Arabidopsis thaliana: one gene and its partners. The protein of the gene in region 1 interacts with the protein of each later gene in a pairwise test. Each region holds a gene or a part of one and is shown on either strand. Other genes may lie near its edges.

Region 1 (5,808 bases):
TGGTAGGGGTATAGAATAAATGATTCTTTATGTATATTCGATTTTTTAAAATAATCAAGTATATTTAAAATAACTAGCGCACAAAAAAAAAAGAACATTGCATTTTGAAATCTGCGGTGAAATATAAAAATATTTTTGTATAAACTTTCATAATTTGTATTTTCTTATTAATACATTCCACTTATTGAACAATAAGATGGTGAGGCCAGATTCTCGCAAAGCATTTCCGTTTATTAACACATTCGCCTCTAAACGGGTAGTTGCATTCGCAGACAAGTACCTCTATGGACTATGGCGAATTCGACGAAGCCAAAGATCATATATTTTTATGAGTCCTTTCTCCTTCAAAACGTGGCCTTAAGTTGGTGGTCCTCTACTAAGCTCGCATCTCACTCCTGATTGGATGCATATGCAACCCCACCTCGTCAATGGCACTATCAAAATTCTCAGCTTCTATCTCTTATGTTTGTTGTGAGCGATAGTGTAATGACTATATTCAATTTTTACCGTACGAAACAGTAAACCGTCAGCTCTAGTGATCGACAAAATAACAGATCGGGTCTCCTCGCACCTATATTTTAATATGACTTGTCTTCACGACCTCATTAGATGTTGGCTCGAAGGAAGAAGTACTGATCAAGATTGTTTCTTTTCAACTTCCATTCTTCTAAAAGTCTATTTGTTTCTTTTCAATCTTCATTCTTTTAAAAGTCTATCTTTTCTTTCAAACTTTTGAAATTCTCTATTAATTAAAATATAAATATCTTTGTTGAAGCTAAATTTTACATTCCAACAGAAAAAGAGAAAGTTAAACTAATAGAAATGTACAGACGGCACTTATTCCCAAAATGTAAGTTACATTTCTATAATAAAACTAACAACACTGAGAAATGAGAATGATCTTATCAAAAAGAGAATGATAAAAAAAAAAAGAAAAAAAAAAGAGGGAATGATCCCATCAAGTTTTCGGAGTATTGCTTGTACACACTTGGTCTAGGAAAAATCTTAGGAGGTGAAATGTTACTTTTGCATTTAGGCCCAATTATATCTTCTGTTTTTAAGAAGTTCTGACTAGTCTGTTTATTTGTAATCTGGGCTAAACTAAATTTATTTGTAAAAGCAAAGGTACATTTAAAAAAAAAAAAAGACGCTCACTCTATTGTGTTCTTCTTGTTCACGTTTTCTTTTGTCGCTCAACAATATAGAGTAAAAACAAAGACATTAGGGAAAAAAAATGAACAATTGAACATTACATAGAAAGTATGAATTAATTAAGCACATTGTTAACTCTAACGACACAATCATGTTATATATAAAATATATATAGAGCGAGTGTCAGTTCTTGAACTCACTCTCACAATTCTCCGACACAATCTCAACCTTCTTCGCATCTAATAGTCCCTTAACCTTAACATCACAAGTCACCACCACTTCCTTGTTCCGTTTGACCGGCCCTGCTTCATACTCAGCCTTCAGCTCCATATTCAGCATCAGAACAACCGGTTGCTTCGATCCACGAGGTTGTACAACTGCGTTCTTGGTCGACCCATTAAGCTTCACATTGACCTTGTCGGATCCAGATGCGGCCTGGGACAACCCCGGAAATTTCCCGCTCCCCAGGCTCTTATTCTTGTACGTTAAGGAAACGACCCCGTTCTTTTCCATCATGTAGCGTACTCCCATGTTAGACGTTGGATTCTCGGCTCTTAATGTGACCTCAAAATTACTAGGATTTACGGTCAATCTCTCGACCGCGAAAACAGGAAGAGTGGGGTTGAAAGCGAAATGGAGGATGAGAATGATTGCACCGAGTAAGAATCCGAAAATGACCAAGATAATGAAGAACCACAAAAGACGTTTAGAACACCCTTTCTTTTTGTTTTTCTCCGGGTTCTTGCTGCGTTTCTCGACGTATTTTGCATGTTCCGGAGGAGGGGTCCAATAGACTTGATCTCTCGGGACTTGGACAACGTACGTCTCTAACTCAGGGATTGAATCCGGAGGAGGAAGAGGCGGAGAAGATGTCGTTGGGAGTGGAGACAGATTAAGAGAATGATTACGCCAATGGTGTGAACCGTGCGATGGAGGATCTAAAGATGGCAATGCGGGGAGGCTAGAGGTTGGACGGTGCCAAACGGACGGAGGATCATCGGGTTTGTCATCGTCAGAGTCAGGGGCGGTGGCGGAAGGAGGACGCCGTGGCCCCTCCATCGGAGAAAGGTGGGAGTTACGAGATGTGTGGTGGAGATTGGTCTACAGAGAAGACGAAAGAGAGAGAATTAAGAGAGGATGCGAAAATTAGGGTTTGCATGGGAAAAGTAAGTGGTTGTTGTTGCATGACTCAAACTTTTGGTTGGTTTTGAGAAGATTTTGCTATTTAGAGTTAGCCAGCTCACCTTAAATTTCCCTTTTTCTGTTATTTAGAAAACTATATTACAGAACTCATATAATATAGTATTATGGCATTTGATGATGATCAACGAAGTTGTTACTTTTTGTTTACAAGATATCGATTTTCTAACATAAATTATATATGCATATAAGACATACATGAGTAAAATCTTAAAAAGGTTAGCACATATTGGTAATGTTTATCATGAACGAGTCTTATTTTATTTTGTACGTTTCGAACTAAAACCATTTTTGGGTGGTATTTCTGGACCAAATTTTCATTAAAGTGTTTTTTATTTCAATTCTCTTGCAACTTCTGTTTCTTTAGAAAGCGAAAAATGCATATATACGAATATACGTTGGGATTGACATGAACGGAATGTATGTATTTACACACATTAATCCGCAGCAACCGGCCATTCAAAATTATGTTTGTGGGCCTTGTTGCTGCTTCGCTGACAATACTATCCAAAATTTATTTCATTTTTCTTTCTTTGAAAAACACACAATCACTTAATTTTCATTTATAAATCAAACATATGTACATGAAAATATCAAGGAAATTAAAGGAAATCTTACCTTCATATGGTCGAAAGTTTTCTTTCAAAAAGCAAAAACAAAAATTAATGTTTCTCTAATTCTTCCCCGGCCCCAATCCACGTGAAACATGTTATGTTGCGAGCATTACACTGGAAACTGTTACATTACATTCTAATTGGCGAAAAATGAAGTGCATTTGTATTGTATCTCACGAAGATTTGCGTTTGTGACAAAAAAAAATATGCAATTTTTTTCGAAATCTGACAACCCATGCCGACCTGTCCGCCGAGTTAACGACGTGCTTATAGGATCCTTAAGTATTTTTATTCTTATTTCTTACTCATTCCAACGGACCAAAAACGACCACGTCATCTTCATACGCAACTCCCAAAACAGACGATAATTAAATCATTGAAATCTAAACTCTCATATACTTTAGCATTTTCAACATTTCTATTAATATTTCCATAGACTAGATCTCTCTTTCTTATACATCCATATCACCGATGATGCCTCGCCGTGACGTCCTCTTCCTCTCACTCCTCCTCGTCATCGCCACCGTCTCCGCTGTCGCATTAGCCGTAAGTTTTCCAAATCTGACTTGCTTCCTCTCATATATGATTTTGTCTAGAACTAGACACACACATTAACCAGATTTGAATATGTATATAATGACACAACATCAATGACATTAGTTTAAACTATTAGACTACAAACTTCTGTTTCTTCCCATTTAAAAAAATGACTTTCTTGATTTCACAGGACGATGAAGCAGATTGTGTCTACACATTCTTCCTTAGAACCGGATCAACCTTCAAAGCCGGTACAGATTCGATCATAAGCGCTAGAGTCTACGACAAATACGGAGACTACATCGGGATCCGAAACCTAGAAGCATGGGGTGGTTTAATGGGACCAGGTTACAACTACTACGAGAGGGGTAATCTCGACATTTTCAGTGGGAAAGCACCATGTCTTCCGAGCCCAGTCTGTTCATTAAATCTGACCTCTGACGGCTCCGGTGACCACCACGGTTGGTATGTTAACTACGTGGAAGTCACGACAGCCGGAGTTCATGCAAAGTGCTCGTACCAAAGCTTTGATGTTGAGCAATGGCTTGCGTCCGATACATCGCCGTATGAGCTCAGTGCTGTTCGGAATAACTGTCCAGTTTCGCTTAGGGAAAGTGTCGGTCGGGTCGGGTCTGAGATCCGGAAGACTCTCTCTTGGATCGTGTGAGAGTAGTGAATGAAATGTCAAATGTGTATGTGTGTGTGTAACTTGGAGAGTTGTTCTTTGTTGTCTTGTGAACGTGTGATGGCAATAATGAAAATGATTCGATCGAATAAAAGTTCCGTTCTTTGTTGTTTGTGAGATTTTTATCAAACATTATTAAGTTTTTCGTGTGATGAAATTAAAAGATAATTACTGATCATATTAAAAAGAAAAAAAGATAATTACTGGTTGATATAGTTTCTTTGTTTCGTTTTATTTTCACAAATAAACGTTCAAAGCTACAACCTTATGATTAATCAAAACTTTGCCAAATAGTATAAAAGATGGGCCCTTTTCACATTTTTCGATGTAATTTTAAACATTTAATACAGAGTGGATCTTCACAATTTTAATCATTTTTGTGCATGTTCAAAAAGTCAACAAGAAACTTACAATTTTGTAAGAAACATCAACGACATTAATTGGTATTGGCCTAAACCTCCTAATTAAGTGACATTTGGTTGAAACGGAACATTTCTTTGGGTCATACTAATAACTGAAAACCATTATCAAATGAATGACTTTAAAATTCCTCCTAAGGCACCATATAAATCTCACTATGCTCCTAATCGTCTTTTAAATCTATAAAAGAAGGTGTGAGCAATAAGTTCCTCAATGAAAATTGAAAAAGATCATCCCTGCACACATAATCTATAGAACCACAAAGCAATATACAAGCTAGACATAAAATAAATAGACAATATGCCTTTAAAAGATAATTACTGATTGTATAATATTTATTTACAAAGACTTCGTTAAGGTCAAAATATTTATGTCTAATCTCCATCCCCCTAGAACATGTTTTTTTCTTTCTTAATAATAGTAACTGTCTAAAAAGAAAGAATTTATGATTCTCATAAAAATTAGAAGAAACAGATTAAAATGGTTTTATTCAATCATATTAATTGACAGAAAATTAAATGTCATATAAACTACAATGAAGAAAATGATAAAGTAGTGAACCTAGTGATAATCCTTTAAACTAACGATCACATGATTCGATGCAACAAAGTAATAACAGACTTATTTGAATTGCCGCGTAAGACTTTGAAGATATTGCTTTCAAAGACGAGAAAACATTGTTTCATCATAAAAATCTTCAAATACATCGAAACAGTTAATGATCGCATGTTCATCTCATTTCTCATACCTCTTTGGACTTAACTGGTACGTAAAAAGATGATAGGCTAATAATTTCGTTGAGACAAAAACTAATTTAAGGTTAAAGCATTAACTATATAATTGTCTATTTTTGTGTTAACGATCACATGCACACATTCAGTGCAATTAAGAAAAAAGTTTGATCCACCAAGTATATATGAATGTGTTCGTTTGTCTACTTAACTCTCGCACTAAAAACAATCAAAAAGAAGAAATCAAACAAAATGACTAAGCATATCTTAATTATTCTTATGTTTACTCTTCTCATTCTAGAGCTAAAAGCTCATGGAACAAATACAATGAGACAAAGCTAAAAAGTGATGAGGGTCTGGAAAAGTTGTACAAGAGGTGGATGGGCCACTATCTTGTGCCCATCCACCAAACAGAAAGTAGTTTCGATGTATTTAAAAAAAATGCAGAATATATTGTCAAAACCAACAA
Region 2 (7,128 bases), on another chromosome or scaffold:
CATTTTCGGCGAGTGTAAGAAAATAATAAAATAAACAGTCTATTAATAATAGTTTGCGTTTTTGACATGAATAATCATGACAAACTCCAAATAAATAGACATTCAATTTGTCATTTTGTCCCATCGTTTCTTTGTTTCAAAGCTAGTAAAATATCCGTCCGTTTTGGGCATTCACATATGTTACTTTCACTAATATTTAGACCTACCTTATTAATATTCGACCAAATTGTCCAATTTTTTTTTTTTTTTTTTTTTTGTATATTGAACATATCCACTTAAATTCTCTTTCTCTCAACGAAAACTGACATCACCACTTCTTATGAGATTTGTTTTTTTTTGTCAACAAGAATCACAATTTCGATAATATCTAATTAAATATTCAGTCATTCATATTTCCTGAGTGAGATTTGAACTTGGAAGATTGTTAGATTTTTTTTTATCAACAAAGAAGTTTCGGATCTTATATCAACCCTCCACAGCAGAGAGATTTATGGATTGTAAAAAGTAATAATAAATGAAAATGTAGTATTGGTTAGAACGCGGAATTAGATAGCAGCTGGTGCTTTTTGCACCGAGTCACACTCAGCCTTGCCAATACCAAGTTGGCATCAACGTACGGAATCCATTAGCCATTACCCCAATCGTACAAGGCAACTTTATTATACTATAATCTAACCTAGCTAAATTCACACAATTTCCAGCTTTTGTTTCTTATATATATCCTTAATGTATTGAACGTACTGTATGTTTGTTACTTCATCGGCAAGTATGAAAGTTTGACTTTAGTGAGAAAATTTGTCACCTGAAACATTCTATTAGTTGTGCATATTACCGTATTGGTTTTGAGAATTGAAAGCGATTACAATGACGCTTTGGCACTGGCCAAGACCACTTTTGTTAACCGACTCCTCCTCTCACTGCGCCTGATCACCGCCTCCTCCAATGATAAATGATTTTTTTTTTCATACGATATATGTTTGGAATAAAATTAATTATATTCATAGAAAATAACAATCTAGAGTTTTTGCCGGACTTGTCTTTATCTGGCGCCGGTCTATGTTCTTTTATTTACTGAGGTTAGCTCTCTAAAACACCATAATCCAAAAATAAAACCATGCTATTTTTAAATTTTTTGATCAGTTGGATATAAAAATCTTTAAAAGAGTAACGCAAAGGAAAACGAAGACCAAGACTTTATTAAATGTGTGACCAATAGTTCAAAAATGATCAAAGGCGACAATAGTATTTGTAACAAACTTCAAATCTGAATGAAATACCCGAATATGTTATATACCGATGGTCTCGTCTCTATAATCTTGCGGGTACAAAAGACTGCTCCTCAAATAATGAGTTGAATTACTTACTGAAGATGCCCATTACTTAATGTATGTACATGTATTTCACCATCTTCATGTTTTTCATGGTTTGAGTTATCATCAACAATCTTTATGGCAACATGATGACATGAGTCCTGTGAACTCCCTCCACGTGAATCATCAACATTGTTTGATCTATCATTATCAACGTCATGTAAAACTGTGACAACATGATGATCTTCATGAGAATCTATTGGCATGGCACGACCAATGCTTCCGGAATCCGACTTCTCGTATAGCACGGTCGGCCTCATCTTGTTCTTAAATCTTGCAGCGGATGCAAGCTCGTGTACAGATTCCGAGATCTTTTCGGTTAAGTTAACAATATCTATGAGCATGGAGACAGTCGTCATCAATGAGATCATTTGAAGAGGCTCAACATCGTTCAAGATGCCTGATTTAAGTAAAGTAGAAAGAGATTTGCATGCAGCTTGTGAGTTTGAGACATGGATATCAGAAGAAGATGATTTTATCATTTGTTTTAGTGAAATGGACATTTCTTTCATTGAGTTTCCCGATTCCGAGCTCATTCTTCTTAATGGTGTTTCTAATTTCTTTTTTATGTCCACTGGGATCTAATAGAAAAAATAAGAAATAAACAAAGGGTTAGAAACACGTTAACCAGAAACATATACTACTATACATGTTTACACTAAAAAAAAAAACTATATAAACAAATTAACAGACTAAGAATTTCAACCTGATGTTATTTTTGTGTTTGCATTTGCGACATGTAAATATATATATATATATATATATAGATATATATATTGTATTAGATCAAAAATAGTTATAGCATAATAGCATATTAGTTTTTCTTCTTTTATGTATTTTCAAATTTTGTTTTAATTAAATATGCAAACACCTAACAAAAAGTTAGCGATTACCTGAAAATCTGAGTTGATGTATGAATTCAAGGCATCAATCCTGTAGGCACACTGCCGGAGTAATGCACCAACGGCAACATATTGTTTCCATGGATGCCTAAACCTAAATTGTCCATGAGGCGGTTCCCATTCTGCGTAATTAGCCTAAACGCAAAATATCAAAACAAAATCAATCCAAATGATTTCATAATTGTGAAGCAAGTAGGGAAAGAAAGAGAGAGAGTAGCCCACCAAAGCTTCTTCATCGCTTTTGGAGTCAAGAACACTTTTATATCTCTCAAGATTCTTTTTCCTCTTCTCCACTACTTTGTAGTCCCCCTTCTCTCTCGCTTCAAAATATTCGTCCCCAAAATCTGCCAATTTCACATTCACTATCTCGTATATGTATATATTTATGTTCTTGTAGAGACATAATGAGGAAAAGAAAAAGAGAAAGAAATAAAAAACCTTGAAGGAAGTGGGAGAGAGTGTCAAAGTTAGAGGCAAGGAGAGAATGTAGATCTTGTCCAGCCCAAACAGGACAGACAAAGATAGAGATAAGGATGCAACTGACTCCTCCAATCACCACTGTCGATAGTCTGCTTTCTGCCAAATCCATTATCTCTTCGTCTCTAAACCCCGACAACGATATCAGCGCGAACGTCAATATGAATATCAATATCCCATAATCGAACTTTGTCTTTACCCATGGGAAAAACCTTACGAACGTCGACAACGCAGCTGCACATATATCACAATACTAATTACTCATTGCCCAATCTTCTTTGATCTAGTCTTTAGCCAAACAATGATTGACCAAACGCTTGGAAACGCATGGTAATCTGAAAATGTAAAGAGTGTTATAAGGGTTTACCTTGCACAAAGACCAACATGACCAAAAGAATAGGTTCCACTGTTGCACCCGACAATCTTGCTAGTTGATGAGCTCCAATTCCTAGTCCTCCTGCTACTAATGTTGCCACTCCTCTATTTAGTCCTTTCCCAAGTGTAGCCCCTAAGTACACATCAAACCAAAGTTATTTAATATTATGGCCAAAAGTTTACAACAAAAATTCTTGCATTCTCCCTAGATATATCTACTAGACATATTCAAATGATAGAAACTAGATGACGAACCTACGGAGAATTCAAAGACAACAACGACGGTCATGACAGCCCACATTGCATTGATACCGAAGTAATCGGTGAAAGGACCGAAAGGTTGGTAATAATAGAAGGAAGAGACCAAAACAAGAGCAAGTCCCACTTTGAAAGCATGAATAATTCTTCTCGGGTCTTCATTCCCTACTCTAATCCCTTCTCTCACTATCTCTCTCACTTTCTCCATAACACCTTTTGATGGTCACTCAGCTCTCTCAAGTGTTTTCTGATTCTCTGATTACTTTCAGATAGAAAGAAAAGATGACTTGTTGTTTTTATGTACATGGATCGATGTATTTATAAAGACCAAGAGAGACTCTTGTTTAGGACTCATGAAATGTTATGTTAATATTTATAAAAAATTAGTGGTGCGTTGCACTTCGAGATTTCAGGGTTAAAGTCTTAAAGAAATGGAAAAGGAAAATGTAATAAAAAAACGGAGTCGAACCTAGCCCAGTAAGTTGGGCACTAGTTAAGCCCTCCCCTTAATTGGAGCGACGCGTGAGGGTTTTTATGCTGAGCTGGATTAGTTAGATGAACCGGTAGGAGTTGATCATGATATTAATTAGGTATTTAACTATCATACTTTAGTGAATTGTATATAGTGTATGCATGATACATTTTGATTAAGGAATATAAAAGATTTAACTAAACTTTTTCTTGCAGCTTCCCCAAATAATTTCGTTTCTGTAATCGACAAGATTAGTGCCCTCAACACTTGGGCTCCAATGTTCGAATGATCTTTGCCATCTACTTGTTTGTTCCCAACCAAGTGCATACACACCTCAACAAAATTTTGTTGTTCAAAGAAAACTTGGACTCTTTTACTGAGTCCAAAAAAAGGACTCTTACTGAGTTGCTTAGTCATTATTGTTTCAATCTAGTCTGCCACACACCAAAAACATAAAAAATGTCAACAAGTTGGTACGGACCCCAATACCCCGATCGTACAAGGCTTTTATTCTTTGGATATTTTATATGTATAACAACAGTTGGAAAAAATGACCTCAAACTCAGATGCGATGATTACAAGTTTGACCAATACATCATCAGGTTCAAAACTAATTGTTGATTCTCTAATCAAACAATTAATTTGTACTAAGGGATTTAGACAAATTCACTTCTCTCTTAGCTCACGAATAATCAAAGGAGAAGAACAAAGTTGCTTGAATAAAAAGCTAGAGTTTGCTCTGTAATAGTAGTCTCTTGTCTTAGGTTGGTCATGATCCTCTTAGAGGGCTTGACCCCCCCCCCCTATTTATACAATGGGTCCAACATACCAAAATATGATAAACTTCTAATTATCTTAGGTCTAAATCTTCATTACTTCTATTCTTCATGAGATCCTCTTCTCTTAAATGGAAGTTTTCCCTTTACACGACCTGAGAAGCCGCCTATGGCGATCTTGACTGTCGACCTAAATCTTCTGGCGAGCTCATGACTTAGGCCCATTAACAGACTAGCCGGGATACCCCGGTTCAATCGAATTCTCGATTTTATTCACGTTATTCCTTGGTTTAAATTGGTATTATCGGAGATGCTAATTCCTGCACCAACACTAATCAAAACTTTTTTTTTTTAATCACCATCCTATATCCAAAACAATATTAAAATTTAACCATCTAATACCCTCGAGTTTTAACTTCAACCATCTGATCCTCCAAAAATTTTGTTTTTTTTGTTCTCACCGCTAAAACATGATTTTTTGGAGCCAATGACAGCATCGATGCCAAATCACATCATATCGACATCACCAGTGTTTCATTTGAAGGCCACAAAGCACATGTATAAATTTATGAATCTCAAGCAAATCGAGTGACTGAGTCCATCACCCGAGGATCCATGAACCAACTCAAAGTCGCTTTCAAGGGCATAAGTTCTTTCTTTTCTCTTCTTTTTTGGTCTAGCTTAGACAACCAAAAGGAGCCAGGAAAATTTTTCGTATCATATAATCAACACAAATGTTACAAAGTATGAACTGACAATAAAATTAAAATACACAAAAGCCCCCCCCCCCCACGACATCAGACCATCCTCCACCTAATCAACCATTACCATTCTAAGAATTCATACCCACTCGCCAAAAAACTATACCACAAACGAAAACAACGGAGACAATTGAAGAGGAAAAAAGAAAGATATGACATGATAAAAAAAAAGAAGAAACAGCAGACTGAATAAAAATGAACGAGAGGACTAAAGCCCGGACAAATAAACTCTACAAATCACTACTAAACCACCACCAAAACTGACTTCTCTAACCTTTTAACATCTTAATTTACACACCCCCTGATATCTTCAAGCCTCATCGTTTCTCGTCTATGGCTCATCTTTTTCTGTACACATGAGGAACACCAGGAGGCAGATGTTACAAGTGTTTTTTGGAGCGGTATGTATGTGCACGAGTGCCTCTTTATCTGCCTCACATCCAAGCCAGAGAACCTCCTCGGTCATTTGAATTTTGTGGGCGTCCTCGGGTTGGCGTCGCTGGCCTATTTGCGTTCAGCTCCTGCGAAAAGTGCATACTACGCTAAGTACCAATGTTTCAGGTCAATAACTATGGACTAAGATTCAGTAATGAAATGAAGCAATATGAACCTGCATCCATGTGTCTTCTATATGTCTTTCTGGTGAAGTTTCAGGCGATGAAAGTGCTGGAGGTAACGGATGAATGAGCTTAGGTACCACTACAAGATCTCTCCCTAGTACCAAGATAGCCCCAGCATTGTTTGCAGTACCTGAGATTTAGTATAAAAACTATTAAGAAAACAGAAATAACCCCATCAAAATATCAAAATCCGGTTATGGCACTTAGTGAGTCCATGTACATACCACAATAGTTTGTAGCAGAAAAGAGCGTTATCAAATGCCCCTGAGCAAAACGCTCAAATCCATCCATTACGCATTCGTGTGCTCGTACAATCAACTGAAGATCGTTGTTGTTGCAGAACTCCATGACACGGTCAGGCTACAATTGCCAAGTTTTGGTGAGTAACAGAACAGGTAAAAATGAAAAGCAAAAGCAATTAACACTTCTTCATATGGTAAATTATTGGGAGCAAACTAGACTATATTCCTTGGTTTCAAGAAAAAAATATCATATATTCTTGGTCTAACAATAGCAGCACCTCATTGCACAGAATAAATATTGTGAGAAAAGAAAGAGATTATTGGTTTTCTGAAGGGAGGAAAAACGAAATTCAGACAACATAAAATTAAAACACAAGAAAATTACTTACCCCAAAAGTAACCAATCCAGGGCCTCTAGCATTGGGCCTTAAACCTTCGACACTGTCATTTTCAGTTGGATCCGACCTAACAAATCCAAATTAACAAATTAGTAAGACTCGACCAAAACATTAAGCAGACCAACATATAGAAGCTAAGGACTAACCATAATAAATCCATAAGAACAATGGAGCCAGCTTCCATTGTAATTGGACGTTGAATATTTTCTATCTGCTCCACATGATTTATAGAACGACCAATACCCCCATGCATACAGATAATTTTCTTCTCAATCGATGCAGCAAGAGGTAGCCAATTGAATAAACGATTTATTCGGTGCCACACCCAGATTCCATCACGTTCACCCTACAAAGCAACCACAACATGAGACAAATAAACATGGAAACAAGAGATTCAGAAGCAGATTACATTACCATTCGCTCAATACACTCTATCCGGAAGCCAAAAAGGGCATTGATATCTGCAGCTTCATGGTT
Region 3 (9,793 bases), on another chromosome or scaffold:
TTTTTCATATTACATGCCTTTATCATTCTCGCTTCTGGAACATGACATTAACCCAATCTTTGGTTTAATTTATGGCTTGGTATCTATTTTGTTTTGTAATGATCGATGGTCAAACAATTACGTAAATCTTGTTTGGACCATAAAACCAACTGTATTTAAGGCCCATTCAGTCGAAGTCAAAGAAAAGAAGGCCCATTCAGTCTTTTACCAACAACTGCAAGGTGTTCACATCTGTAGTACAAGAACGGGATGTAGTTTCATTTGTTATTACTGCCGCCGAGAATCGATTGCTACGCATTTGTTCAAATCTAATTGTTCTGAGATCAAAGACTTAAATGAGAGATATGTACTGAACATATAATGAATATATTAGTCACACTACACATCATCTGATGGATCCATCACTTCACCACGCACTGCAACCCAAGTTGGTGATGGTGGTTTAAGAAGAACACCAAAGGAGAAATACTCTTCTTTTTCTCACCAGAATGGAGAACGTCATCAGATTACGACTGTGCCTCCTTCGATTATCTGGTTATCGCCAGATGCATCCGATGGTTGAGGTTTAGGCTTACTCGTCCTAGAGTACCCATAGCCTAGAGAGCTTCCGCTTGCTTCACATAGCTGCCATTATCATTACACCATTTCCCAATACACATCAATCAGACCAAACCAGATTCTGATAAATATAGATGGATATATCGACAATGAAACACACCTCGGTCAGTTCAGACAAGTGACGGGTTCTGAACTCGTTAATCGTGTTTGCAATTTCCGATGTCGGTAATTTTGCCTGACATGTTTCAACCCAAAAAATGATCATACACTGTTTAGGATTACTACTTCAACTAAATAAGGAAACATTTATGTTTTACCTGAGCAAGAACAGCAGCTGCCAACTGTAGACTAGGCTCCAGAGTCTCCGGGACAACCTAAAAGTTTTTGTGATCGAGGTATTATTAGTGTACGATTGACAAAGCATATCTATAGTCTAGATGAGAGTGAAGGGGTCTGTGAGTATTACTGCAGTAGCACCGGCTTTTTCTAGATTAAGACCATGAACAACATCGTGAGCACGGACAAAAGTTTTGACATTGGGGTAAAACTTGCTCAAAGCCCAAACACATCTGTAGTTTGCTCCTGGTGCGTCTAAGGCAACCACAGCAGCACATGCTCTCCCAGCTCCAATTTTGTGGAGAACCTGTTTGTTCACACAAGTGAAGTAATATTCACATGCTGGTGTAATCTATATTTTTCTGTTTTTGTGTGTACCTACCTCTTTACTACCAGCGTCTCCGAAATAAACAGGAAGATCCAAGGAACGCCCGATAGTCACTCTATCACTGTAAAAAAAAGGAGGTTTTCAGGTAAGCATAGCATGCGAGGAAGAGGTATGGAAACTGGTTGGTGCAATACAAAGAGTCTTGAAAAAAGACTTATAAATCAGATAGGTTGAAATGTTATCTCATTGAGTGTGGAAGTTACTGATAGTCCCCACATTTTCGGTTCGATACGAGAACAAAATATTTGAAACCACTTTAGCCCACAAAGATTCTTCAACAATAGAGGCAAAGAATAAGCAATGTTATGTTACCTGCTGACATCAAGGGCAACAAATGGGATAAGTCTTTCCGAGAGAAGTTGAGCAATTATCTACAATTAACAAACAGAAAATGGTCACGAGGTTAGAAACTTCGAGCTATCATGTGAAGCTGAATGTCTACAGAGAGGTTCTCATATAAGAGCATAAACTGAAGAAGTTCAGATAATATATAAACCTGACCAACTCGACCAAATCCACAAATAATTATGTGACCCTGCAAATCATCTGTCTGCAAATAAAATCAGACAAGAAAAATTCTCATCAGTCGGCCTTGTAATGATTTCCTCAACTAGAGAATGTGTGAGCTACAAGTGGTTCCATGATTGATAAATTATTGCCTAATAGAGGTAAATTCTATATTTGAATCATTAAGATTCCTACCTCACTCTCGACGGGCAATAAACTTCGAACATCATGCAACTCAAAACGAGATGCAATTAACTGGCCACCAGCAGCTAACCAGGGTGTGATAGCCATTGAGATTCCCACGACAAGGAATAGCAACGAAGATAACTGAGGAGACATTATACCCTGGAAGAACCACAGATTAGGCCTTCTAGGGAAAAACAGTTGACAGAAATATATGTAATGTGTAAGGGTAAACCATTAAAACAACATTGCTGATTATATACCTCATTGGAAAAAAGCAAAAAAATACGCCATGTTGATAACAAACCTGATTAACAGCTTCTCCGAAAGCAACAAATGCAAACTCTCCGCCTGGGGCCAATAGTAGACCGACCCGAATTGCAGATATTATTGATATGCCGAACAATTTTCCCATAATCACGACTAACATAGTTTTGCCCACTATCAAGAGTCCCAAAGTTCCCACTATGACAGGGAAGTTGGAGAGAAGTAATTTCGGATCAATTGACATTCCAACCTGAAATCAATGGAACTCTTTTTGTTAGTTTGCTTACAGTTGACAACAATATCAGGATCTTACTAGAACACAAGTAAAAGGTTTCCTTTTCCATCTATAGTTCCTCATTCTTTTCAGAAATGATAAACTATGGAAAAAGTTATTAGGAAACTCATATTACCGTCATGAAGAAGAGTCCCAACAGAAGACCACGATATGGAGCAATATCTGATTCTACTTGCAACGAAAATTCTGTCTCTGCAAGGAGTAGACCAGCCAAAAACGCTCCTAATGCCATGGAAAGTCCAGCCTGATTTATAGAAACTGGAAAAATTAGCAGACGGGAAGTACTGGCATGTCAGTAAACTACTCAATGCCAACAAGGTCACGGTCATACCCTAGCTGTCAGTAAACTAGTCCCAAGAATAACGAGAAGCGTGTTGGCAGAGAATATCTCGGCGTTTCGATTTTCTGCAATTTGCTTGTAGATTGGTCGAAGAAGCTATATGCAACAAGAGTGTAAATTCCTTATATTATAACTCCATTGAAACATATAAATTGAGTACCGGAAGTAGCAGTGATAGCACAGTTAACTTTCATGATTAGTTCATGGAAACATGCCTCTTCCTTTTGTAGCAAATCTAAAACATTTCACCTAACAACTTTGGTAATAATTAACTTATTTTGATATCTGAACCCTCAAAAGTTAAAGTATCTGAGACTCACTAGACGGCCACCAGCAATTATTGCAGTAATAGCCACTGCTGCTTTGACTGCAGCAAGCCCAAGAGCTTCAGCAATGGCTTGAAATCCAATCTGAAAAGAGCAGTAGAAACTTAGCATTTTGCGACCACTGATATTTCCTAGACTTCCTTGAGTATATAGAAATATCTGGCATACCAGCAATTTCAACCAGTAATAGCAACATATGACCACAACGTTTCTTCTTAAGAGACCAAAGACGTTATCAAACCTCTTACTTAGACATTATCGAACAGAAAAGCAAGCCATACTCAAGAAAAAGAAGGAACCCTAGAGATGAGCTTACCCCTCCTTTCGATGAATTAGGTGAAATAAGTGGGATGAGAATCAGTAAAACAACTACAGCTAGATCCTGTGAAGAAAAAATAACAAACTGATGAGAAATGCCCAGCATAGTTGTCGTATATAATTAACTTTTTCCTGAACAAACCTGGAAAAGCAAGACGGAAAATGAAGCCCTTCCATGTCTAGATGTACTCTCGCCTCGTTCTTGTAGAACCTGAAAACCAAGTGCATTGTTTCTGTTCAACCAACTGGTAGCGTAATTGCATTAAAAAAAAAATTAAGGGGATGCTACAAAATTCCTTTAATTAAGATCCCTTTTTGAATACAACCAAAAATGTTACCTGAAGGACAACAGCAGTGGACGACAGAGCCAGGCCATTTCCAATCACTATTGCTGCTGGACCAGCCTGACCAGCAACATAATGGGCAAGCAATCCAACTACTGCTGCCGTCACCAGAACCTAGATTACAGCAATAGAAGTAGAGATTAAAGTAGATGGAAAAAGAAACATCAAGCATGTAGGCATTGTAGTTGATAAATGATGTGGAATGAGATACACGGATCTTTAAATCACCTGAGCTGAGCCTAATCCAAAAACATATTTCTTCATGGAACTCAGTCTTTCAACAGATAGCTGTCAAAGAAATAAACAAAATATTGGCTCTTCTACCAAACACAGTTCAAAAGCAAAAAGGTAGCATACACATATATCAAATAATACCTCAAGGCCGATGTTGAAAAGCAAGAAAACTACTCCAAATTCTGCGATGGCCCTGGTTCCGTGCACATTACGGATTATCGAAAGACCATACGGACCAATCAGAATTCCAGCTGCCAAATACCCAAGAACAGGGCTGCCTATACATTGCAGCAGATGAAGCCATCAAGATGGCACATAAATCTCTATGCAACATGATTGCGAGACCAGAACTGAAAATGTTTTTGACTGATGAGAACATAGAAATTGTAGGAGTTTGAGGGAAAGGGGAAACAAATAGTAATGCAATGGATAGAATTAACAAAAGAAGAAAAAAAAATACTACTTACCTCCAGGAATTTTCTGAAATAGAGGCACAAATATGACGCTTGCTAGCAGTAACCACAAAAAGTCAAAGAGGGAAGCTTCTTCCTCATTGACCTATTAATTGCAGAAAGTTTCAGCCTGCAAAGTACATTCCATACAATTTGCACTTCGTAAAAGAAAAAAAAAAACAAGAACAATTGTTCATACCTCCTGGTGAGGGATCATCTCAAGTAGTTTCTTAATTCTCTTGGGAAGTTTCTGCACTTGCCGGATCAGTGGCTTCGTACTTGAAGAGACATCTTCTGTACTAGTGCTGGTAACATCTGGCTGTTGAAGCAACTGGTTGTTCCCCCCTACTCCATTGGAGTATAATGTCAGTCTGGAACGAATAAGAAGCTCGTATCAACAAAAAGAGAACTTTCTGTACAAAAATGATTCTTCAAAACTCGAAGCAAAGAAGAGTAAATTTTCAAACTGACCCTGCTCCAAGAAGAGCAAGCCCAAGAACTAGTTTGGGCCATTGCTGTTTGACAGAACCAACCAGACTACCAAACACTGTCGCGGTCCCATCTGGATTAGAAGAGAAGAAAGATGCAGAAAAGAAACGGGAGGATTTATTAAACGATGCCTTGGGAGAATTAAGAGAGGAACCCTCCTTTGGCAGATCTTTTTGAGTTTCCTGTTTTTTTGTCTGAACATTAATCTTTGGCTTTTCAGAATCTGCTTCAACCACTTTAGAAGACTCTACACTTGGCTTTCCATTCTCATGATCGCTTGACTCATAAGGCTGAGTTAGTTTTTTATTCCTCTGACCAACTATATCAGGCACAAGTTCAGCTGTGATCTGTACCACTGGTAGATCTCCATCTTTAGGTGATTCTTTTTCAACCTGATGGGTAACATCTTCAACGTTACCTGAAAGTACCATCGCATCCTCCTGAGAAGTTTCTTCATCCGAGAGTTGGCCCTGAGTTTCCTCTGGGGTCTGAGAAATGGAGAGAGACTTCTCTGCTCTCTGTAAAGCAATCTCTGCATCATTAACGCGTTGAGTAGCCTCAAGCTCAAATGCTACAGCTTGTTCAGCCAATTTCATAATATTGGTAACATCCTCCTCGGCTTTCAACGAACTGATCTGTATTGTCTCAGCGAACTCATTCAACTTGTCCACTTCCTTTTGCAGCTCGTCTTTTTTGCTCAGCAAAGCACTCAGTTGGGACTCACAATTATCTAAATTAACTTGGCATTCTTTAATATCATCCTTGGCAGCTAAAAGAGCTTCTTCTTTATCATTAACATCTATTGTTTCCTCAGTCTCTTCAGACACATGTGGAATATCATTCCCTGCACCAGCTTCAAGTGATTCCACTATAACCTGAAGCCTAGCTTCAGCCAGAGACAGGGCCATAGTAGCCGTTTGAACAGCTTCTTTAGCAAGAGCCTCCTCATAAACAGTATCTCGAATGACATCAAGGGTTTTGTTTACGTCAAGCCAAGCAGTAGCAGCTTCATCCTTGAGTGCTATGGCTCTTTCTGAGATTCTCTGAGCCTTTTCCTCAAACATGGTACTATTGAGCCTAGCAACTTCCAATTCTTTAATTGCCTTGTGTAGTAACTCCTTGAGTTCCTCCAAACTATCAGTGTCGTTTTCCACTCTCGCATCTTTCAAATCTGTAGCTTCAGTTTCATCACTACTTTCGGAAGATTCCCCGATCCGATGATCATTACTATCGGCATTACCCAGAGATTCATGACCCTGACAACGTAACCTAAATCCAAAAGGGATTCTTTTGGCTTGGTGGCCATTGCCAAGTATTGATTTTGTAGAATGCAAATGACCACTATAAAACCTTCCAGAGAAACACGCATTCATCAAATTCAATGTACCACTTTGTGCTACATTTCTCCTCAATCGAAAACACGAATGCACTTTAGAATCCCCAGATGTAATGCTGATTCCTTTAGGACTTATCAATCGATTTGGAAAGCAGTAACTCGCACCATCTCCACCATGGAATAGAATCGGCCTTTGAAAAGTAGACGCATACTCCATATCGGAAATCAAATAAAAAAAGTAGCCTTACTTTATTCCTCGAACCTTATATACAACTCCTGTGAAGCAAAACGAAATTCCACACATTCAGACGACCAAGATAAAAAAAATCAACGACAAGCCACGGACAGATAGAGAGGCTAACCAATCATGGAAAGTTGAGTAAGAATGGAAGAAAGGTGGAAACGGAAAGGAGTGGCTCTCGTCTTCAATTCCGTTCGTTTCAAACAGATAATTTTGGCTCGTCTCTTCAAATTTTCCCAGTCAAACAACTTTCTCTGTCTCCTCCTTTTTGAGTTTCTCGCCAACCAGACATCATTGCTAAGGCCGTTTTTAGATACTTTTACGAAAACACCCTCTCTCACCTAACGAAATAATGAATGATTCACATCACCCGATAACCACTTGGTTTGATCCGGTATATAAGTAGTTTGGTATCTTTGAACCGAACAGATATTACATCGAATATCATCATCACCATCGGAAAGCATATCATAAGCAGCACACATAGAGTGAAAAAACATCAATTCTTGCCTTTTTTTCGTGTGTAATAATAAATGTATAACGAATGAATTAAAAAAATAACAAAAAAAATCATGTCTTCATATGGAAACAACTCATTACAAATGAAATCAAATCTTTCCCCCGCAACAACATTCATTCAATCATTCACTCAAAAACACTCATGTAAGAGATATTCAAGACTCTGAAACGCCATTCTCTTCCTTGGCCTCCACGGCGACGTCTTCGGTAGGTTCCGGTGGAAGAGTGTTGCCTGAGGCTGTGCGACGGTGATTGGCGGCTTGGAGGACGTGAGCGTAGTTTCCTTTCTCCATGAAGAGTTGGTTAAAGTGATGTCGGCAATAGAGAACGCTATCTAAGGAGGCGTAGGAGGAGTGAGTCAGCGTACACCCACCGTGAGCGCACCGGAAACATGTCTTGTGGAAGCATTCTCCTTCCATTTGTATCTGTTACCAAATAACCCGATTAGAACCAAGCCAAAATTGATTCCACATTTGCTTGGACCAACCAACATCACGTTCTCAAATCGAACCAAAAGTATACTAAACCAAACCAAAATCAAAATTTTATTTCCATTTGATCTAGTAATGATTTTATCCGAACAGAAAAATTCTACGGAAATGAAAAAACAAAAAACAAATTCTAGAGCAAATAAATTTCTCTACGAGACTAGTTCGTTGGTATTTTAGGCCATGAGAACATTTGCAGATGCGTATACCACTAACCTTTTCAAGAGGGTAAACAGTTTTTTCGCAAGCGGCACACTTGTCTTGTGTTCCACAGAAGATGGAAGATATCTTGCTGGGAGTCCTAGTCTGTAATGTTTAAATCAGTACACAGATCCTATTAGTCGATCATAAAAGAAAGAAAATGAAATATTGACACGCTAATCATATACAAGGACATGTAATGATGAACCTACCAGCTCTGGCTTCTCAGTTTTTCCTGAGAAAAGAAAGAGACTTGTTATGATCATGATGATTTGAAAGATAGAGAGATTCGATGTCAGAGATTTTATAATACGAACCTGGTTGAAAGTTTTTGCTGAAATTGCCAGATTCCTTGAAGAGTTGCTCAAAATGAGTCTTGCAGTACAAAACTCCGTCCATGGAGGAATAGTTGCTCATCTGCCATCAACACATAGATAAATTGTTGATATAATATGATCATAGAAGATCTAACAAGAAAATGAGTAATGAGTGCACCTGAAGGGTTCCTTTGCAATGGGTACACCTGAAGCAAGACTTGTGGTAAGGCATTCCTTCAATGGACAACATGTCCACCACATAGACTGTCTTATCACAAACATTGCATTTGTCGAGAGTTCCTGTGAAAGACATTTTTTTTGTTTTATCTTTTTTTTTTTTGGTTTTTTTTTGGTTGTTGTTGTTTCCTTCCTTCTCCAAGATCCTGTATGAAACAGATTTTTTAATTTTTTTTCCAACAAATCAAGAGGTCATCTGAGGAATTAGTTAAAGAAGGAAACCTTTACCTCAGACAACGGAGGAACCTGCGAAATTTCTGTCCTCTTTTATATGAAACTTTGTTGCAATTGTGAGGTTGTAACGGAGGAAGGTTTTTTCCTTTTTTTCTTTCTCTCTCTCTCTCTCTCTCTCTTTGATCTTTTTTGCAAAATGAATGAGATAAAATTGGGTGGCAAAGTGATTGGAGTTGAGCAAAAGAAGGGTTGTGGTTTCTGACAATTTCAATCCAATAAGGGATTGTTACTTTAAGCCAACTGTCTCTGAGGTGGTGCAACCCATGTCAGTCAGATCCTGCAAAAGAATATAACAACAACCTAACATTACACAAATATATAATATCATTCTCTCTCAATCAAAACAATGCTTTTAATACTTATCTGTATGCGTATCTATCAAGATATCCAGTTGTAAATTAAAGTAATTTTAATGTATAGAAGTAAAAGAAAGTGAAGCACCACTAAGTCGATTCCTTCTTTTTCTATTATCTTTTAGAACTATAGTGTAGTTCAAGTCTCCCTTTTTATTAACATATTACCACAGAATTTGAATAGAAAAATCTGATATGCAAAGTTAAAGTAGTCTTACAACACAACTTGTTGACACAAGATGAGATCTGAGATTGTCTTTCCGTGTCGGTCGATCCTCCTGGAACAGTTGACTCCACCATCTAATATGTTCCGTACGACAACATTCATAGCATGAATGCCTTCAACGTCATATATCTCTACTGACACATTTTCATCCATTGGTTTTGCATCCAATTCCAGAAACGAAGAGGTTGATAACAGAACTGACATCACATGCTTTACCCATTGAGGAGTAATTATGAGTTTCAGACGCTCGACATCTGGGGAATAATGCGGGATTATTGAGAAGTTTATGTCGTTTCCTTTATCGCCAGCCCGGCTATGTGCAACAGAGTAGAGTGGGATCTTTTGGCCAGATGGAGCAGGAGAGTGATGAAATCCAGATTGATAGCCTCTCATTGTAAGGTTCTTTGGATTTTCCTTAGGTAACTACAAATGGAAGTAATAACAAGGTGTTAATACAAATGCACATGTTAGAGTTCTTTCACATTTTCAGCTTTCAAATAGTAAAACATATCTATCAGTCATCAGAGTTAGTTTGATGTTCGAACACACTAGGATTGATTCACCAAGGAATTTGAATTCAGGTCATGTTTATTTCCATTATCTA
Region 4 (7,750 bases), on another chromosome or scaffold:
TTTCCGCCCCATGTTATTAAGACAATCCCCTTCTATCTGTTTATGTGACGACTATACCGATAAAGATTTCTGATTACGTAAGACATTTTCGATAATACCAAGAGATAAAATATCTTCTCTCGTCGTATATATTGAAATACATGGTGCACGGAGTTCATTATAGCTTTCATGCGACGCATGTTGGTTTTAAGATAACGAAATATACTAATCTCGATGATTAAGCAAATTAGTTACCTTTTCAATGGCTGGTCAAATCCGTGATTTAAGATTATTTGTTGGAAGACCCTTTTTTCAATTTTCTAGAAGGACTATATAAGAGTTGGGTATGTTCCCTTCCACTTCGACATTTAATTCAATGGATCTTTAAATTGGTCACATATTTTCGGAACCCAACGATCCTCCACCCACCAATATTTAATCTTAGGGATGTACAATTTATCTGTAATATTATAGTACCTACAATTACTTGTTTCTACTTCAACCAAAAATATGAATTTTCATAGTAGAATTAAATTCAAAAACCAAAAAAAAACTTAATGTTGGTCCATAACTGGTTGAACACACACAAGGTCACACAGATTGACCACACATAACTGGTTAGATTACAAATTAAATCGAGCTTCAAAGAGATAAGGAAAGTGAACAATAAAATATTGACAGAATTTTTAAATAGGATGGGTTAGTCCTTCGTTCATCGCAAAATCAGGCGTAATAGTCGGAGACTCTATTTAAGATATTAACAGCAACACAACAAATTATGATCTTTTTACGTCACCTAAAAAAGGGTCATTTTCAATCGTTTTCTATATTGGAGATTTGAGAACATACATACCTAGAAATAAAAGAGTATGAAAACAATGAAAAAGCAGTAAAGTACTTTTACACAAACCAAAAAAGCAGCTATTACTTTTCTTCATATTTTTTGCTTTTGACTTTTAAGTAACTTTCTGCTTGTTAATTTATTACTTTTATGTTTTTATTTTTCTATATATAATTTGTGTTTACATCACAAAGCTTACTAAAACGACGACACCGCGTTTTGAGTGCAAAGCGCCTAACCCACTTCTGAATGGTAACCAATGCTCTGAATGGTAACTAGAGCTTTATCAAGTCGACGTACTTGTCTAAACAGCATCTAAAGTTATACTAGACAAATTCCTTTTGAGAAAAAAGAGAGAAATTTTCTCAACGTCCAAATTAGTATAGTAATATGTCTAACATAAAATAGTAAAATATAAAGTGACTCAATTGGTAAAACGTTTAGTTTTCTTCATTTAAAAGTTCAATGGGTTGAGATGTTCTGGACTCATTTTCCCCTTATTATGTATAACGAAGAGCCGAATTGTAAGAAAATGGTGCATCTTTTTCCTGGTTTTACTCGAATTCTATCATATGATTTTCTTCATTTCATATCTTTTGATGTAATTATAATATAAATATAATCATATACGTCATGAGACAAGAACAAAAATTAAATAAAACCAATTGTAATATATCTTCACGCCTAATCGCTAACTAAGAGGTCATTTTCTTTATTTAATTGGAATAAAACAGTCCTTACTTTTGTGAGAGCAATGTATACTAGATGAGAAAGGAAAATCCACAAAAACACACTTTCGTCGAAAGAAGTAACCTACACAAAACACAAAACAAACAAAAAATGAATACCGTACCTACCTAATTTTAAACAAAATGAAAGTAGAAAGTAAGAGAAATTATTGCAAGTCAAAATATATGAACAAAGCTTTACCCTTCTTATAAAAAAAGAAGAGAAAATATACAAGCGTTTTTGGATCCTCAAATCAAATCTTAGTCCTCTGTTTTTTTTGCTTTCCCTTGTTTTGGTCCTCTTGTCTCTCTCATTCCATCACCTTCTTTCTCAAATAATCTCTAGAAAATATATAGACAAGAAAAGGGTTTTTGGATCCTCAAATCAAATCTTGGTCCCTTTAAATTTACTACATTTCGTGTTACATTACATTTTCTAGTTGCGTTCCACTAATCTTGGAATTATCTTGTTTCTCTTTATCCTCTTCAGCCAAGCAGAACTTCTCCATTGAAGAGCTTATAGCCCGAGTAAAATGTAGTAAACAAGTGTAATCGGTAGTGCGATAAGCATTCCAAATATTACCCTGCAATAATACACATAAGAATCAACAATATTAGTAATCTTCTCTTATGCATAAGAAAAGTTTTACTATTGGTTCAATATGAAATACTTACCCTGTACTCAAGATTGCGGGATGAACATTATACTCTTTTGCAAACACAAACGGCACGATCCCTTGAGGCAATGCAGCCTACAACGTTACCACAAGATTTGGTTAAACTACTTCTTACAAAGAGATTGTTAACAACAAACGAAAATAGTTTAATTTACTTGAACAATGGCCACACGCAATAGGTCTCCACGTAATCCAATAGCCATTGCTGCCACGGCCATTACCGCTGGTCCAGTAAAGAATCTCACCGCCATCGCAAAAGTCGCCGTCGAATTTCCGCAAGCAATTAATTTCGGTTGCAATGCCATGAACAACCCTTCACCATTTTCACATTTTCAGTTAATTCATTTCCACTCAAAACAACAAGTGCTGAATGATGCAATACATGTAAACGTAATCTAAATCCAATAAATGATGATGATGATGCATTCATGTACATTGTAAGTCCAATCAACTTCCACTTAATATGGGGACCACGACAACAATCAAGAACACGAGCTATGTCATCCCACCACGACCGTTTATATAATTCGACGTCGCATCAATGACCCTACCTGTCGGATGGTCCATGCCGTAACGGGCCATCCCAAAAAATCTTAAAAAATACCAACCATTTTCAATTATTGGAATCCTCACCAAAAAAAAGTTACAATTTTTTCCGTACGAATGTGGATGTTGTGACATTTGATTGGCGTAAAAATAGAAAGAAAGTAAATGAGTTAACGGAAAAAAGAAACAGAGTAAAAAGATGACTCACCCAAACTGAACATTGCCATACCAAGACCAGCATCAGAAAGAATTGAGATTGATTGTTGAATAATTTTAGGCATTGCCACATCCCACCTTCATATCCAAATTACCATAATCATCACTCTAATCAAATCTCACAATAATAATAAACTTCCACTAGTAGTTGATTTTTGATTAAGTTACCTGAAAGCAACAAGAGCCCAAATGAGACCAATGAGACTAGAGTAAGTGTTTGGGTTTCTTATGAGTTTCCTCCACACCATTATCAATATCAGCCGAGTCATCACACTCGCTGGTGGCATATGTTTTACCGGTACAGTTTCACCCGTTTCTATAGCTTCTTTAGGGTTTAGCTCTGCTGTGGAGTTACACCGAAGCTTGTGTAGTCCGTTAGGCACTTCCTTTACCCTCTCCGACTCTTCTTCCCCGCCATAGTCCCCGTTCATCGGACCAGCTACAAATTTAAGCAAATACAGTTTGAGATTTGTGTCCATATGTTACAAAAAAAAATACAATTTAAAAGTTAAAAACCTTTGTTTTCACCATTTTGAGTATGATCAGAGATCAACATTCGAATCTCTTTTGCACCGCCTTGATCGGATTTTCCGACTTGTTCATTGGCTCCATTATCAACTTGAAGACCAGCTCGGTCCGAAACGGGTGATCCGTTGGATCCCCAAACAAACATATGAAGCTCCTTAGCATCATTACTATTTGATTTTCCTACATGATGATGATTCTCTTTTGGAGCTTTACTACCGGTTTTATTACCGGTAGAAAACTCCGGATTAGGAGCTGGGTACGACCCGGGAGCTCCTCCCGGGTAATACCCGAATCTTGGCGAAGAAGCCATAGCACAACTCTCCTCAAAATTCGAAGGTCTAGGAGTAGGTCCTCTCGAGGACTGAACAGAGTACATATCCGCCGGACCAAAGTTCGAAAGCCGGCCACCGGGAAACCCCATCATAGAGTAAAAATCAGAATGATTGAAGTTAGATCCTCTTGGAGTAGTGTTAAGACTATAAATCTCAGCTCCGGTGAGATTAGACGGACGAGGAGTCATATTAGTACCACCACCACCGTAAAAAGATCTCCGAGAAGCGTTTGATTTTCTCACCGTAACATGAAGCTTACCATCGTCACCGATTTGAGCATCAGTTTCAAGAAAATCATGTCCATCTAAAGAAACAACATCGGACTCAACTTTGAACGATACAATCGAAGCACCAGTCTCTGGAAACTGTTCCATGATCAAGATCTTAGCTCCTCTGTATTCGAAAAGAAAGAGAAGAAGCGTGTACCAGATTATACACTGAAGAACAACGATCTGAACCATGAGTGAGCCGGAATATTCTCCGTACATGGCGATCAAGAGAGGTATTCCCATAACGAGAGTGTTGGGAAGTGTTGAAAGAGAGAAGATTGTGATGCTCCATTCAAGACTACCGGAGCGAGTGAAGTTAGCCCAGATGATTAGGAGAGTGAGCATGATTAGTTTTTGGAGTGTATCGGCTGCGATGAATCGGAGATTCATTGCGTAAGGATTGTTTGAGGAGATGAAGTGGAAAGAGAGAAGAGGGACGGCGAAAATAGCGACGAAGCGGTTTATGCCGGAACATTGGTCTGGTGAGAAGATTTTCCACCACCGGACTGAGCCGTAAGCGAGGATCATGGCTACGTAGAGTGGTATCACCGCCGTGAGGACGGTGTAGAGGTCGTGCCATGTGATCATATTGTTGTTCGCCGGAGTGGCAAAAGTGTAATTTTGAGTGTGGAAACCGTTAGGAAGTGAGTTAGTGTCAGTCTCTGTTCTCTATGTGATGACGGAAGCTTTTAACAGAGAAGCTAGTGAGTGTGTGAGAGAGAGAGAGAGAAGGAGAAGATTTGATGATTTTTAGATTTACGAGAGATGTCCCTTTACAGCTTTTTATACAGCAAACACATGACGACCTAATTAGTTCTTATTTCTATTTTATTACTTCTTTAAACATTTATAAACCTTATCTATTTTTGTACTTTTTAATACTATATATATCTTAGCTTTCCCCTAATTTATGTACCATTTAAGATGATATAAAGAAATATCATTTATGTAGTATTTATAAGTTATGGTTATGAATTGTGTTTGAAATAGGTTATGAATTTGTTACGAAATTGACTGAGATTTTTTAGAGTGGACTGACTGTCTACATGTCACACATAAATGAAAATTTCCATTCAATGAATTTTGTGAATCCTTGATAAAAACAATAAAGAGATATTGTGGTTTACCAAGAAAAAAGAAGAAATTAAGTGTGGTTTCATCTAAAAGTAATCATAATATTTTTTTATATACACGTAAATGCCGGTCCAAAACTTCTTGGGCCACTTAACGTATTACTAGGATTGATTTCTCATAAGCTCGTTGTGAGATAAAATACAAGTGTGCATTTGGCCCAAACAGAAACAATGTCGTAGTGGTGATTTAAACATGTGCTTATAAGGAGCAAAAGATCACTATAAATTGGTAAAGAAGGTGCAATGCAAGATCATATTCGCCGAACTAAGTTGACCTAAATTCTATTTCTTATTGTCTAATCGTCTTTTTTTTTTCAAGCTAGGGTTAATTATAACATCCTATGCAATCCCAAGAAATCTCACTTTTAAGCCACCCTGTCCATTTTCTTTCAGATGGTCTATCATGCATTCTATGTGGCCTTTTAAAAAAAGGTTGGAGTTTTTCGTTGTTGTTGTCGGGAAAGTATTAGTGTAAAAGAATACCTTATGCCATATGGAAGACTGGAAGTCACAATGTTATCAAGATCTTTCCGCGACCGTATCAAGAATTGTTTTTTCCTAGAAGTCACAATGTTATCATAGCTTTGAATGAATTCGATTAACTTCAGAAATATTTTATCATTTCACAAAAGTAGTAACATCTTATTAAAAATATCTATTAGTTTATGTTATCAGTTCATTTCATCTTTTAATCTAGCTAAATTTTCAATTCGATTTGATTTATAGACCAGTTTTATTTTGAGATAAATTTCTTGCTTATAACGTTTACACAATTATAATCGCAGACACATAGCTGATTTGAAGTCTTCTTGAAAGCAATTGCTTCTTCGATTCATCCGCGTCGGTTTATCCCTCTTGACAATTACACATTGACTTTTGATATATAATGTAAGCTCTAACTTGGCAAAGTTCTTAACACAATTCTGCTCATGGTTTGGTCATATTTTCTAATATTATAAAACATAATTATCTTAAATAAAAATATTATTTTTATTTTTTTATTTAATCAGTTTATTTCATAAATAATTTGGATATACATCCGTTTGATCTAGCTAAGATATCAATTCGATTCTAGATCAATTTTATTCTCGGAGACTAAACATGGCCTAGTAAACTACAAAATGGCGAAATCATACAAACATATCTTGACCAAAATCATCACTGAAGAAAGAGAGAGAAGAACGTAATATTACATCTGTACTGAAATTAAAAGATGAAAAAGAGACAAAAAGAAAAATTTAACCATCGGTTAAATATCAATATTGGACCGATACAAAAAATTATAGTTAAACGTTACTGAGAGATGGCCCTTTAAGAGAGAGCGACGCAACGGCCTCAGCGACGGTTAAGAAGAGAAACTCGGGCCTCATGAACTCTTTTTGTTCGTCAGCTCTTTGAAGCTTCTCCACCACTTCGCTTAGAGGGTTCACAAACACAAGCTTCACACATAAAATAAATATCCAGTTTAGATCAAAATCTAATTAGTTTCCTTGGATAAGTGACAAAATCGGATTGTGAAAACAACTATTTTTACCTCGATGTCCTTCTTGGCGGTTGTTTTCTTAAGTTCCTTAAAAAAGGACACTCCGTTTGTGTCTACACCGCTCACGGCTTTAACATATATAAAAGCAAAGTTAGCTAGTTGAAATATATTGGTTTTCTTGAGTTTTATGGTTTTGCATTAGAAAATTAAAACTAATTAGCAATGAGTGAATTTGCCTTTAAGTCTAATCACATTTCCTATACGGGTTTCTAATAGATTCTATCAAGACTAACCTGACATTTCAAGAATCAAGAACTGTAGGCTAGAATGCTTCTCTTGAGCTTCCTCTTCTTCGCATTCTTCAATCCAACGAGATGTTCTACAAAAAATTTATGCAACACAAAAGCAGAGAATGTTAGTAAATGAAACATAGCTATTAAGAAATGTGGTGTTGACAAAAAAAATGTATTAAGAAATGTGGTTACAATCTAATAAACATCAGGGTTCATAAACATTTAAGAGATCAAAGTCTAATGTATCCGAACTTCCAAAATCTATATAGAAAGGATCGTAGTTTCATAGCTAACCTTTCAGTGAGGTAGTTAGAATTGGCGAAATTGACAGGAGATTCGATGCTTAAAACAAGAAATCCCGGGATCCTTTGTGCTTCTTTGTAATGATGAAGATCTCGGTATATATCCGTTCCAGGAATATTACCCATTATAACCATTTTCGGCCTTGTTACTTGCATCAATATCTTGAACAACGATAGCCCCACCGCAATGGCTAGACCGTTTTGAACGGATAGGAAAATGACACCAAAGAACGCGCAAAGCATCACCAAGAAATCAAATTTATCGATCTTCCATATGTGACAGGCCGCGGGAAGGTCGATGAGACCAATGACCGCGGTCACAATGATGGCACCGAGGACCACATTGGGAGTGTATTCGAAAAGCGGCATTAGGAAGAGAAGCGTAACCATAACAGTGACCGACATAACAATGTTTGAAACTGC

What was found.
Region 2: the proteins of AT2G22180 (region 1) and ALMT1 interact in a protein complementation assay, tested with the Arabidopsis thaliana proteins (one large-scale study listed by BioGRID).
Region 3: the proteins of AT2G22180 (region 1) and KEA1 interact in a protein complementation assay, tested with the Arabidopsis thaliana proteins (one large-scale study listed by BioGRID).
Region 4: the proteins of AT2G22180 (region 1) and PIN7 interact in a protein complementation assay, tested with the Arabidopsis thaliana proteins (one large-scale study listed by BioGRID).

What each region holds. Positions count from the first base shown.
Region 1 is NC_003071.7:9,425,372-9,431,179, reverse strand, and holds AT2G22180 (hydroxyproline-rich glycoprotein family protein), read right to left. Parts: upstream 2,438-5,808; 5' UTR 2,212-2,437; coding exon 1,336-2,211; 3' UTR 1,039-1,335; downstream 1-1,038. Other genes in the region: PLAT2 (Lipase/lipooxygenase, PLAT/LH2 family protein), read left to right, coding at 3,438-3,512, 3,694-4,170; AT2G22160 (Cysteine proteinases superfamily protein), read left to right, coding at 5,720-5,808.
Region 2 is NC_003070.9:2,655,262-2,662,389, reverse strand, and holds ALMT1 (aluminum-activated malate transporter 1), read right to left. Parts: upstream 3,789-7,128; 5' UTR 3,591-3,788; coding exon 3,380-3,590; intron 3,258-3,379; coding exon 3,117-3,257; intron 2,984-3,116; coding exon 2,711-2,983; intron 2,617-2,710; coding exon 2,495-2,616; intron 2,408-2,494; coding exon 2,264-2,407; intron 1,952-2,263; coding exon 1,361-1,951; 3' UTR 1,080-1,360; downstream 1-1,079. Other genes in the region: BSL2 (BRI1 suppressor 1 (BSU1)-like 2), read right to left, coding at 5,826-5,912, 6,002-6,141, 6,236-6,371, 6,643-6,718, 6,798-6,997, 7,066-7,128. UniProt on the Arabidopsis thaliana protein: Malate transporter critical for aluminum tolerance. The STOP1 transcription factor is required for ALMT1 expression.
Region 3 is NC_003070.9:281,578-291,370, reverse strand, and holds KEA1 (K+ efflux antiporter 1), read right to left. Parts: upstream 7,022-9,793; 5' UTR 6,736-7,021; exon of another isoform or gene 6,650-6,735; 5' UTR 6,591-6,649; coding exon 5,020-6,590; intron 4,920-5,019; coding exon 4,748-4,919; intron 4,655-4,747; coding exon 4,564-4,654; intron 4,375-4,563; coding exon 4,238-4,374; intron 4,151-4,237; coding exon 4,091-4,150; intron 3,977-4,090; coding exon 3,857-3,976; intron 3,730-3,856; coding exon 3,661-3,729; intron 3,583-3,660; coding exon 3,517-3,582; intron 3,285-3,516; coding exon 3,195-3,284; intron 2,971-3,194; coding exon 2,866-2,970; intron 2,779-2,865; coding exon 2,650-2,778; intron 2,490-2,649; coding exon 2,280-2,489; intron 2,135-2,279; coding exon 1,985-2,134; intron 1,833-1,984; coding exon 1,779-1,832; intron 1,654-1,778; coding exon 1,595-1,653; intron 1,344-1,594; coding exon 1,277-1,343; intron 1,202-1,276; coding exon 1,025-1,201; intron 933-1,024; coding exon 876-932; intron 794-875; and 5 more. Other genes in the region: PLIM2b (GATA type zinc finger transcription factor family protein), read right to left, coding at 7,289-7,558, 7,838-7,927, 8,035-8,057, 8,140-8,239, 8,318-8,452; AT1G01770 (propionyl-CoA carboxylase), read right to left, coding at 8,881-8,887, 9,182-9,612. UniProt on the Arabidopsis thaliana protein: Electroneutral K(+)/H(+) efflux antiporter involved in chloroplastic K(+) homeostasis and osmotic adjustment, especially during plastid division and thylakoid membrane formation.
Region 4 is NC_003070.9:8,178,703-8,186,452, forward strand, and holds PIN7 (Auxin efflux carrier family protein), read right to left. Parts: upstream 4,949-7,750; 5' UTR 4,705-4,948; coding exon 3,504-4,704; intron 3,427-3,503; coding exon 3,156-3,426; intron 3,066-3,155; coding exon 2,980-3,065; coding exon of another isoform or gene 2,942-2,979; exon of another isoform or gene 2,539-2,941; coding exon 2,381-2,538; exon of another isoform or gene 2,301-2,380; coding exon 2,224-2,300; exon of another isoform or gene 2,133-2,223; coding exon 2,066-2,132; 3' UTR 1,487-2,065; downstream 1-1,486. Other genes in the region: AST91 (sulfate transporter 91), read right to left, coding at 6,536-6,688, 6,784-6,860, 7,026-7,111, 7,320-7,750. UniProt on the Arabidopsis thaliana protein: Acts as a component of the auxin efflux carrier. Mediates the initial auxin gradient which contributes to the establishment of the apical-basal axis in early embryogenesis.